Macaca mulatta: one gene and its partners. The protein of the gene in region 1 interacts with the protein of each later gene in a biochemical or structural test. Links are inferred from orthologs where the notes say so. Each region holds a gene or a part of one and is shown on either strand. Other genes may lie near its edges. The genes, in order: MMP14, LUM and TIMP2.

Evidence for each region.
Region 2: the proteins of MMP14 (region 1) and LUM interact in a biophysical measurement, tested with the Homo sapiens proteins (2 studies listed by BioGRID and IntAct, with this or other methods). The link is inferred for Macaca mulatta from reciprocal best matches to the Homo sapiens genes MMP14 and LUM.
Region 3: the proteins of MMP14 (region 1) and TIMP2 form a complex in vitro, tested with the Homo sapiens proteins (2 studies listed by BioGRID). The link is inferred for Macaca mulatta from reciprocal best matches to the Homo sapiens genes MMP14 and TIMP2.

The regions. Positions count from the first base shown.
Region 1 is NC_133412.1:95,912,004-95,916,248, reverse strand, and holds the start of MMP14 (matrix metalloproteinase-14 precursor), read right to left. Parts: upstream 2,805-4,245; 5' UTR 2,570-2,804; coding exon 2,462-2,569; intron 1-2,461.
Region 2 is NC_133416.1:98,417,137-98,421,385, reverse strand, and holds the start of LUM (lumican precursor), read left to right. Parts: upstream 1-1,322; 5' UTR 1,323-1,421; intron 1,422-3,824; 5' UTR 3,825-3,845; coding exon 3,846-4,249.
Region 3 is NC_133421.1:88,536,986-88,540,631, forward strand, and holds part of TIMP2 (metalloproteinase inhibitor 2), read right to left. Parts: intron 2,405-3,646; coding exon 2,207-2,404; 3' UTR 1-2,206. UniProt on the Homo sapiens protein: Complexes with metalloproteinases (such as collagenases) and irreversibly inactivates them by binding to their catalytic zinc cofactor. Known to act on MMP-1, MMP-2, MMP-3, MMP-7, MMP-8, MMP-9, MMP-10, MMP-13, MMP-14, MMP-15, MMP-16 and MMP-19.

The DNA of each region.
Region 1 (4,245 bases):
GGGCTGCTCTCAGGGAGCTGCAGGCTTGCCTTGACCTGTTCTGGCTGATGCTACAGCCAGTGCCTGGGGAGGCCTGCTGTGGCCTGTGCCTAAATATGCAGGAAACGTCTTTTGCCCCTAGCCTCACCTGCAGGATAAATACACCCCAGGCTTATGACCCTTGGTTGGGGAGCAGCTGCTTCAGGACTTGGGGAAGGACAGGACTGGTCTACTTCTGATGCTGGAAGGCAGGAGGACTGAGGCCAGGCCCCCTCAACCCTCAGAGAGCAAAGCTGAGAGAATTCACCTAAAGCAGAACGACAGAAGGGAGGGCAGCACAGAGATGGGGAGAATCCACATCCAGGAGCTCTAGGGGAAATCCCCTCTGGAGTCTTTCAAGAAGCTAGGCGGGTCTAAATATTCATACCCACAACCTCCACCCCATACCCTAGGGAGAAAAATGAAGGCTCAGTCAAGTGAAAGACTTCCCTGGAGTCAAGAGAGCTGCAAGGCCTGGAAAGGAAGTGCCCCCATCCCTCTCCTCCCACCAGGCCTAGGCAAGTTTCTCTCCTCACAGAGACTATGAGGTCGAAACCACAGAAGAGAGGACTCTTGTGTCTGCGGCTGGGGGGGAGGAAGGGCTCAGCGCCAGACGGGCCATAGGGAGGAGAGGGCTGTCCTGGAGCTGGTGCAGGACTCTGGAGGCCTGGTGGGAGGGACCCAGCTGCATGAGGCCTGCACCACCCCAGCTTTCCCTCCACATTGGTCTGGAGTAAAAAGCAACTATGTTGGGTCAAAGAACTCAGCTGGTTGGCTCTGTCTTTGTGAATGAGAGAGATGCAAGGTATCCCCTAGGAGAAAGTCAACGGAACACCTCCCACCTTGGCTTAGGAGTCCAGTGGAGGGTGGGGGGACCTCCAGCTCTGCAGTAGGCCCTGGATCCTAGCCTCTGGGGCTGCTCCTCCCTCCCTTCCAGGGCCCAGAAGCAAATGGTGGTTCTGGCACTGGGACCGCCCATGACCCACTTAAAACGGAGCCAGGGCTGCCGCCCCTCCCCTGGGGGACCCAGCAGAGCAGGGGAGGGAAAAAAGGCAAGGCAGTGAAGTTGGCTGTGGGCAGCTCCCCAGATGCCCAGGCTCGTTTTCTTAGGGGCGCTCCCTTTCAGGTCTCAGAGGAGGACTCTAGGCCTGGGAAGAAGACGACTCCTCCCCGAGAGTCAGGCTCAGCCTCCAGCACTAGGGCAGGTTTTTACTCTCCCTGGTGTCTGAGCACTCCACGTTTCGTCTTCCACCCCCATTCCTGGGGCCATACTTTTCCAGTTGGCCCCAGACCCCTTCAGGGACAGAGAGAGAAGAGAGTATTCTTTCCAAAGAGTTTCCTCCGGGGTGGGACCAGGGCGGAGAAGCCAAACCCAGATCCCATCCCCCTTCTGGGGCCCTTCCTGGCCCCTCCCGACCGCACCCAGGCCCTTGCCAGGCTGAGTGGGTTGAGATGGCCCAAAATAAGAAGCTCATTAAATCCGTCTCCCACCTTCACCCCAAAATAAGAGAGAGAGAGGAAAAACCTCCTCAGACAACTCCCACGCAGCTTCCTCTGGGGCCCGGTGGGCCACCGTCTGGGCCGGGGTGGGGGTGGGGGGCGCCCGAGCCAGTCGAGACGTGTGAGGGCACCCCGGGCCAGACCCTCTCCCCACTCCCCGAGCGACGCCCCCTGGCTCCCTGCAATTAACACAGAAAAACAATTAACAACAAAAAGGGCCTGAAGGCGCCGACGCGGGTGGGGACAGGGGAAGGCAGCGACCCGGCGGATCACCCGGCTCACAAGGAGAGCTTTGTGTGGACGGAAACGCGGCCAGCGCGCCGGCGCTGCGACCCTCGACGCCAGGGATGCGGGTAGGGGGACAGCGGGGTCCTCTCGGGGAGACGGGGGCTGTGGCCCTGGACGCTCGGCCGTCCACCCTCGACCCCCATCTGGCCGCAGACGCGTCTGCTGAGGGCCTGGGCCGCCCGGGGAGGCCGGAGCGCCCATCGGAGGGCGCGCCGGCGGGAGAGCGCTGGAGAGCTGGAAAGTCGAAGGAACAACAAACTCTCGCGCATGACGAGGAGCCGGGACAGCGCGGGGTTTGAGCGGAGTCCAAATGTTTACCAGGCGGTTCCAGAGCGGAACGCAGAGCCCAAGGGAATTGGGGAAGGGGGAGTCTGCCCCAGTGGTAAAGTTCTTCCAAGGACTGGGAAAAAAGAAGGAATGGGAAAGACAGTCGGCGGCGCAGGGGGTGGGGGCAGCTGGTTGGAAGCGGGCAAAAGTTGGATCGATCTGGAAGTTTGGAGACGAAGAGGAAAAAGAAAAGGAGGGGGAGTCCTGCAGGCCCGAACAGCCGAGATCCCAAGAGCCCTCCTCTCCGAATAGAGGCTGTCCCCTTGGAGACCCCCGGGCTCGCCTCCCGGCGGGCGAGACTCCAGGAAGGGCCGGGGAGCTCACTTACTTCGGGACTGAAGGTGCTGCTTTGGGTCGAGCCGAGGGAGGCGAGCGCGGTGCCGAGCGTGAGCAGGGGGAGCAGGAGACAACGGGAGGGTCTTGGGGCGGGAGACATGGTCCGAGACCACCGGGTCAGCCGGGCAGTGTGGGCTCCGCGGCGGGGCCCACGCCCTGGGGTCGCACCGCCACTCCCTCGGGGCGCCTTTGTCTTCGGTAGCACTGAACTTTAATTCCTAGAGCGCTGTCGGCTTGGAATTAAGGGGATTGTTCCTGAAAGTGCCTGTTTGCTCTTCTCCTCTTTTCCGGTTTTTGATCTTTCTTCTGCTTAGTCGGCGAACTGGGGTCTGGATCCCTCTCGCTCTCTCCTCTGGTCCCTCCCTTTTCCCGCAGCCTCTCCTCCGTCCCCGCCCCAGTGCCCTCCTTTCCTGGTTGGGGACGTGGTTGTTTTAGCCTGAATCCAATTACAACCAAGAACTGGAAAAAAAAAAAAAAAAAAAAAAAACAACCAACCCGCTAAGTTGCCTTTTTGTGGTGCAGGCTGCCATCTGCAGGGGTTGAGGCCACGGTGGACAGCAGGGGGCTGTAGGGGACCCAGGGGACGGGATGTGGGAGACTTTCTCCCCATAAGCATATTCTGAGTGGCTTGATTCCTCTGGTATTCAGCATTTGTCTCACCTCAGGGTGGAAATTATTGGGGGCTACGTGGCTATGGGCAACAAGGAGCTCAAAGTGTGGGATGGTGAGGTCTTCCTCTATGCTCATGAGACCTGCATAGGGAGAAGGGGCCAGTTTACTAATAGTTGGGGGGTTATCTTCTGGCCCCTATAGACAACTGTCTATGTTCCTCCCTCCGCTGCCAAAAATTCCAAACTATAACCCAACTACCAACAAAAAACCCCACAACCATACTGGATCTGTGGCTCCAACCTTGTAGAAAGATTCCTTTATTGTCATTTGTAATGTGGCTGCACCTTTAATTGGAACTCGCTGACAGGAAAAGGGTACAAGGCCATGGGATCTGGGGAAAGCAAATCAAGCTGGGTGAAATTATTGTAAAAGAAGGGATTGGGAGTTGGGACGCTGGGGTTTAGTTCCACCTCTACACTGAAAAAGGAGGCAATTCTTAAAGAGTAAAATCTCCTTTAGGGACTTACTGGACTCAACAAAAGATGGAGGTATGTAGGAAAGGGAGAGGGCAGGATAAAGCTGACCGTGAGAAAGGGAGACAGATAAAGAGTCCGGAACTAGACAGATGTGGAAAAGCAGCACAACAGAAGCAGGAAAAGTGTGGGAGACAGAAAACTCGACTATCAGCGAAATCTAAGATCCAAGAATTGCATTTGGTCAGTGAGAGAGGACGGAGGTAGTGCGACGAGGGAGAAGAAAGCAAAGGAAGGAATAAAGGAGGGTGGACAGAAATTAGGTCAGGTAGGAAGCTTCAGAAATCCAAGGGATTCAGGAACTATCGCACTTCTGTGGCAGAAGAATGGAAGTCTAGTGCTCAGTACTGTAATGAAAACAAAGGTCTTTTGCTCTCAGATTCACGATCAATAAAATGAAAAGCTTTTCAGGTCCTGTGGAGCCTCCAGGTTTGTGGGAGGTATATGGTGTGCATTTATTTATTTATTTATTTATTTATTTATTTTGAGATGGAGTCTTGCTCTGTCACCCAGGCTGGAGTGCAGTGGTGCAATCTCGGCTCACTGCAAGCTCCGCCTCCTGGGTTCATGCCATTCTCCTGCCTCAGCCTCCCGAGTAGCTGGGACTACAGGCACCCGCTACCACGCCCGG
Region 2 (4,249 bases), on another chromosome or scaffold:
ATTTGTTCAGTTACTTTGTTGAAACTGATGCCTATCAATAATTTTCTTAAAATAATATTAGTAAAAATTGTATGCTTATGAATCATCTTACAATTCCATTAGTTACTTTCAAGAAGATTACTTTTTGTTTTTGAACAGTTCTATTACAAAAATAAGGCATTTATTCTAATAGTCTTTTGTCAGGCAAATGCAGTATTAGTCATGGAGTTAATCTTCCACAAGTCTCACTGCTAAAATGTAATATAGTTATTTTTAAAGACAAAAATACAATGTGACAATTTATACTAAAATATCTTGTTGTAAAAGTTCTTATAAATATGAGGAAATGAAACATTTTAGAAAAAAAATCACATAAATATAACTGATAAAATCACAAAATGAAATAGACAAGGATTTAAGTACATCTCTCATTTGCTGAAACCATGCATCAGGAGCTGATAATGAAAGATATATCCAGCCAGGTCTTTGGGAGATTATAACTTTGAATAACTTTTAACTTTGAAAAAAAAATTATAGCATGCAATGAGAGAATGAAAGATTATTGCCTTGTGATACTTTTAGTATAAATTTATTTTTTTCTCTGTTATTTTATGTTTTTTGGCATTAAGCTATAGAATGCTATCCCCAAGTAAGGTTTTGGGTGAATTCCTAAAAAAAATCCACAAAATAAGAAACAGACAAGACTTTGCTGATTGGTTCCAGACCTGAGTAACATAAAATGAGTCTCCTTAGCATTAGAAGTAAACTCGAAATGCTGATATTTATCATGTGTATCCAAGAGTATATGAAGCATATTTCACATTTTCAAAACTAATGTAAGTTACCCTCATGACCAAAAAATTAAGTTAGTCCAAGTAAATCTATATTGATTTCAAAAGTGATAGGCAAAGGGATTCAATTCCTCTGAGTCTGTTCATTTGTGTTTTCCTGAAATTATTTGCCCTGCTTATGATTTATGAGATCTTTAGATAAACATGATAGTTGGCTGAGTGCATTGCACTTAATTGTTGCCACAGCCACAGATGTAAAGAGGTTTGTAAGAAAAATGTTCTCACAGTGAGCTTCCTTATTTGAAGCAGGACTCAATCCTTGGTTAAAAGCTATGGTATTTGAGCTAGTTAAACACGTATCTCTCTCCCATTCCATAGGGAATGAACTGGGCTGTCCTTCCTCCCCACATTCACCTGCACTTCGTTAGAGAGCAGTGTTCACATGCCACACCACAAGATCCCCACAATGACATAACTCCATTCAGAGACTGGCGTGACTGGGCTGGGTCTCCCCACCCCCCTTCAGCTCTTGTATCACTCAGAATCTGGCAGCCAGTTCCGTCCTGACAGAGTTTACAGCATATATTGGTGGATTCTTGTCCATAGTGCATCTGCTTTAAGAATTAACGAAAGCAGTGTCAAGACAGTAAGGTAAGTGCTGTTTTAACTATCGCACTGGGGATGGTAACTGTTTGGGACAGTGTTTTTTGTAACAGGAACAGGAAAAATTCCAGAGCAATTTTGCCAATTGCTATTCCACATCAAATCCACAGTTTTGAGCAGTTAGTTTCACATTTTGTTTAATATGTTTTCCATGATTTATAGATTTGAGATTTTATACAGTATATGCTATATTGCTTGGCAAGGGAAGTTATAAAAAGTTTCAAGGTTAGAATGAGAAAATAGTTAAAGTAGACACAGTGAAAAAATATAGAAATTAAAATGTTTGTTATGTATGCTAACTAGTTATATATGTTAGTATTGGACTCTAATACTGGAGCAAGGAAAGGTCATTTTAATCAGCATTCAAAATATCTTTTAATAAGTATATTGTGGCAATTTGTTATAATTTACAATACACATTCTATGTTATAAAACATGAGCTAAAAGATTTAGAGACTCTTATGGATTATTTATTTCTGTTTTGTTAATTTAAAAAATTGTTTCTTGGATATATGCCTTAAGGAATGAATTTTTAAAGAAATTCTGGGAAATGATTTAGTTTTTGGAAACAGCATTTTCTCTATAGCCACAGGTATTTGAGAAAACTGAGGGAAGTAGAGTGTGATTTTGTCTCATAGTGGAGTCATTATATGGTCACAAACTCTCTTTCAGTTCAGCATCCTTGTTTTTACTTTGCCAAAAAATGTGGAAGCATTTTTCATTACTTTTTAATACTCACCTTATAGTTACCATAAATATTTTGGTATATACTAAATTTAAAATAGCTTATTAATAAAGCAAGACAAATCTTTACAGTATTTGCATTCTGTAACTTATAAATAACTCTGGGAATATGTCATCATGTTCTTTTTAGTGCTATGCAATTATTATTATGGCAAGTTCTGTCAACAATATTAAATGCCCCCCATTATAATCTTAGAGAGTAATTTACTGAGAATCTGGCTACATGTTACATTATGTCAGCAATCGAAGTATTTCTGACAACTGTTTTATAACGTTCCATCTGATCTGAAATAAAATGCCTTATAATTTCAAATTAAAACAAATAAAAGACGTTTTCAGTTTCTTACCCCAGAGATCCTGCTTATCCCAAACTACCTTGATCCAAAAGCTTGTAATCATACTTTCATAGGAAGATACAATATTCTCAGTTATCTATTAGAATGTAGATCTTTCTTCACATTAATGATTTATCTCCCAGGGCTACCAACTCAGCCACAACTCTCCACTCTATAAAAGTCTAACTCTTATATTCTAATTTTCCCATATCTAAATTGCCGCACCTCCTTAAGACACTGAAATGGACTTTTTTGAACCTCACCTGAGAAACATGTTCCTATGAGAAGATAACTGTTACACATTATTTTAAATTCATATTCTCAATGGAATAATTTACTAGATAGTTCTAATACCAGTATTAAATCCAAACTTTAAAAACGTCCCACCTCTCTCCCACCTCCATTCTGTGAGGTCACTAAAAGCCAGATACATGCAAATCATGGCATCTTTGATTTTGGCATGAAGAAAGTAGAGAACTTGTGAGTAATTGAGAGAGACTATAATTCTAATTGAAAACTTGGAAAATACTATCTTTCTCTACCTGTTGAATCTCTTTCCAGATAGAGAAACCCTTAGAATGTGTGACATTTTCCTGATAAATATTAGTAATTCTTAAATATTACTAATATTTAATTTAGTAAATAGCTAATTTATGAAATATTAGTTTCAGAACACAGTTTTGCAGTGTGCTTTAAAAAGTGTGGAATGTCAAGCACAACGTGCACTAGTATGCACGCACACCAGCACCAAGAATTCTGTTCTCCTTCCTCAGAACCAACAATAACCGGATAGTTTTAAAGGAATGTGCCTTCCATTTCCCTCCCACATACAAGCAAAACCTCAGGTTGCCCATATTCCCGTAAGGATCTTCTTCATGAGTCATTTTAATGATGTCGAATGGTAGAGTAGAGTATACAGTTAACAACTGTCTTCTCATTCTCGTTTTCTGAGAGATGATCTGAAGCAGTAGTCTAATTCGGTGGTCAATGAACACCACCCAGAAACCTCTTACAGGCAGGCATTTCATTAAGGAAGAGCCTAAAGAGATTGACTGGAACAATTAGGCCTGGCTCTCCCAGAAGGGGGCGCACGTGTACGCAATCTAACCTGAAACCTGCTCACCACACAGTTGTAAACATACACCTTTGTCCTCATACCTAAATAAAAATTGAAGAGACGCCGTTAGATGCACTAAAAATAGCTATAAGAATAACAAAATGCACATTTTATAATGCATTTAATGTTGTAAGTTGAATATCCTTTTCTTGAAAGTATATATTTTTTATTAATAAATGTTTCAACTTTATTTAGGATTCAAACCATTTGCCAAAAATGAGTCTAAGTGCATTTACTCTCTTCCTGGCATTGATTGGTGGTACCAGTGGCCAGTACTATGATTATGATTTTCCCCTATCAATTTATGGGCAATCATCACCAAACTGTGCACCAGAATGTAACTGCCCTGAAAGCTACCCAAGTGCCATGTACTGTGATGAGCTGAAATTGAAAAGTGTACCAATGGTGCCTCCTGGAATCAAGTATCTTTACCTTAGGAATAACCAGATTGACCATATTGATGAAAAGGCCTTTGAGAATGTAACTGATCTGCAGTGGCTCATTCTAGATCACAACCTTCTAGAAAACTCCAAGATAAAAGGGAGAGTTTTCTCTAAGTTGAAACAACTGAAGAAGCTGCATATAAACTACAACAACCTGACAGAGTCTGTGGGCCCACT
Region 3 (3,646 bases), on another chromosome or scaffold:
CTACTCAGCATGGTTAAAAGACCAACGTGTGTGGATCGACTATAAAGGCCACACCTTTCAGACCGAACCTACTCAAAGATCCTTTACTTTGTAATAATTTGAACCGGAGAACCAAAGACGGGAGACGAATGAAAGCAAAGATGCTCAAAGAACCCAAGGAAAGACCTGAAGGAATCCACCTGCATAGGCCACGCGTTCCGCTCCGGGTCAAATGCTTCCACGATGCAGAAACCTCTTTTAAAAAAAGTGCAAGTCTAACACCTACCAAGGGTAATAAAAAACACAGCACAGGAATGATTACAGTTGATGTCAAAAACAAACCAAAACATTAAAAAAACAATCGGCAGAAACAGGAGTAAATGTTACATATGATATCACCGTACAGGAAGCAAACGGGGGTGGGGTGTTACATGGGTTGGAGGGGTCTGGTGGAGTTGTATATACTGAAATCACATGGACTGGTCCATTATGACATCTTACCAACTTTAGATCACTGTACAGCATGAAAACGCCCGTGGGGCAGGGGCCGATTCCTGGATACCCTCCCAGTCTGCCCTAGAAAGGGAAGTCATCAAGATCTGTGCTGACCAGGTCCCGATGGGCATGGGGCCTGCATGCCACTTGGGGGTCAGGAGTCTTAACAGGTGCTTTGGGGTTGCCACTGAATAGAACAGGCTAAGGTGGCTTTGGAAGCATTTTGCAGGACCACTCCCAGGCCGAAAAGCTTCAGTTTCATTGCGTGTGTATGTTTACATAATGTGCCTATATATCGTCAGTTTATCTTCACAACACAGGTGGGAGCAAAAGAGATTCTCCTTATCGTTACCGAGAAAGTTCTTCCTATTCTGATCCCCATATCACGGGCTTCAGGAAACCATGTTTAGGGAACACATAGGTTCCCTAGTTCCCTAAGAAGTTTCTTAGCTAGGTCATCTTTGTCATTTGAGAAATACAAGCAGAAGTTGGTATATCTGCAACTCAGGTTCACCTGTCATCTGAGAATTCATCATCTGAGAATTCATCGTTAGAAAAAGGAGGTGTCTCTTAAAACAGGCCCAAGTATCCTGGAGGCTCAGAAAGAAGTGAGAGTGTCACCAAAGCCACCTACCTCCAAAATCCTTCCCTTCCTAGGCTGGACTTCTTACTACACTTAGCTGGCGTCATGTGCAGAAAGCCCCGTGCAGAACGATGGCTGTCAGTCTTTGAGGGAGAGAACACTAAGCCCAGGAGGGCACAGCAAGACCCAGCTTTTTCTGTCCTCAGGATGTGCAGATGGGGAGCACAGCCAGGCCCTGCACACAAGCCCAGATAAAGCAAAGCCGTGCCACTCAATCCAGGTGCCTGGTGCCAGAATGGGCAAGAAGCAATGGCAACCACAGCAGCTCAGGAAGGGACCTTGAGGGCAGCCACCGGCCCCGGACAGCAGCCTCAGGACAGGACCTCACCAATTCCCCCTGCAGGCTGGGGAAGCATGTGGACGGGGGGTGCAGGAGACCAAAAAGACTCAGCTGAGGCTGGGGTTCCTCGCTCCCATTTCTACAAGGCTCAGAGGGAGGCTCCCACTGGAATTCTGAGGATTAATAGGATTGATGGGGCTCCTTCAAGAATAAGCCGCTGGTTCCAGGCTGTCCCTGGATGTGGGGGGAGCCACAAGTGCTGGGAGGTCATGGTGGGCACCGGGGTGATGGGGGTACTTGCCAGGGGCAGGGAGTGTTACACTAGGGCCAGAGGCGTGGAAGCTGCAGAAAACAAGGGCCATGCCCCTCTCAAGATGAAAGGGACCTGGTAGGCCTGCTACACAGTCTTGCAATGACCCTCAAAAGTTTCTGCAAAATGCACATTTCCAGGCCCCGCCCTAACCCGGCTGGGAGATCCCTAAGTGCTGCCTGCTCGGCATCTGTGACGGTGCCAAGGCAGGGACTGGGAGGCAAGCTACATGTCCCAGCCCTGCCTGCACCCAAGGATCGAAGCCCCAGACACACAGTGCCTGGCAGAGGGAGGATGGGATGAGGACCCTGGACCCATGTCTCCCTCCAGACCCACAACCGTGTCTAAAAGGAGAAGCGGGGAGCAGAACTGTACTAATTTGGACCCACGGGATGAGTGTTTTATTCATGCTGTTTCCAGGAAGGGATGTCAGAGCTGGACCAGTCGAAACCCTTGGAGGCTATTTTTGCAGTTGGCCACAGGGGTGTTGTAGGCCTGCTTATGGGTCCTCGATGTCAAGAAACTCCTGCTTGGGGGGCGCCGCGCCGCGGTACCACGCACAGGAGCCGTCGCTTCTCTTGATGCAGGCGAAGAACTTGGCCTGGTGCCCGTTGATGTTCTTCTCTGTGACCCAGTCCATCCAGAGGCACTCGTCCGGGGAGGAGATGTAGCACGGGATCATGGGGCAGCGTGTGATCTGGGGAGGGGCACACAGAGGGGGATGGAGTCAGGAACCCAGGAAGGGGTGGGCAGAGGCTGCTCTGGGGGCATGTCCAGAACCCGGCAATGTGCCTACCTGCGGTGTGCAGGGATGGCAGCCTCTCCCGAGACCCACAGCTCCTGCAGGGGCAGGCGGCTGGCCTGCGAGGGGGTCTTACCTGCAGGGAAGCTGTGCCCCGCCCACCGGGGCCCCCCTCCTGCTGCAGGTGTGCTTCCCTTTGGGCCATCTTCTACCTTCCTGAGCATGAGAGAATGGCCTGGCTTGGCCCTGCCCTCTGGGGGACATAGCAACAATAAAAGGGCCTGGGTTTCCTGGAGACAGATTCCAGCCCAGTGAAAAGGCCGGGAATTGGGAACTGCTCAAGGCCGAGCCCTGAGGTCATAGGCAACTAGCAATTTGGCAAAGGAACCCGAGGCTACAAGAGGATGACTGCCTTCACTGCCCCATGGAAAGAAAAAGGAAGAACTTGCTTTTGATTTCATGCTGGGCACAGAGGAGTTTTGCTTAACATATGTGTGGCTGGAGACTATGAGTTCAGAATTCCTGTTTTGAACATGCTGAGAAGGGGCTGGTGGCCGTCAGGAGGGAGGGCAGCCCCAGGCAGCTCCCCAAGGAAGGCCAATCCCCACGGCCTCACCAGAGTCTACTGGTCCCAGACTCGCTGGGAGTGACCCAGGGTGGCAGGTGCCCAGCACTCAGCAATGCTTCCGGCAGGAAGGGTGGGGATAGGGTGCTAGGAGCCCACAGGGTAGGAGCCAGCCCGGGAGCCCTGGAGGTGGTGATCTCGCCTTCCACAGTCACATCCAAGCGTCGGGCTGCTACGACTGTGCCTGGCACAACCTCCGGGCTCATTTGAAGAGAAGCAGGTGTTCTCAACACACAGACCCCACGTAGACACCGACCCAGGTGTGAAAATGTCGGGAATGTTGGAAAAAGCATGAGGCCTGCAGTGCCCTCTCACAAGGCACACAAGGGTTTGCATATCCGCATTTGTAGGAAATGATCCATGGGACCATATTCTCCCCATACAGCTCCTTTTTCTGGAAGGGGCAAGTAACAGAGCTGAATTTATGCCTTACTCTCAAATCTCCTAGCCTTCCAGACATCCCCCTCCATTTTTTTTTTTTTTTTGAGACAGAGTCTCACTCTGTCAACCCAGGCTGGGGTACAGTGGCGCGATCTTGGCTCACTGCAACCTCCACCTCCCACGTTCAAGCC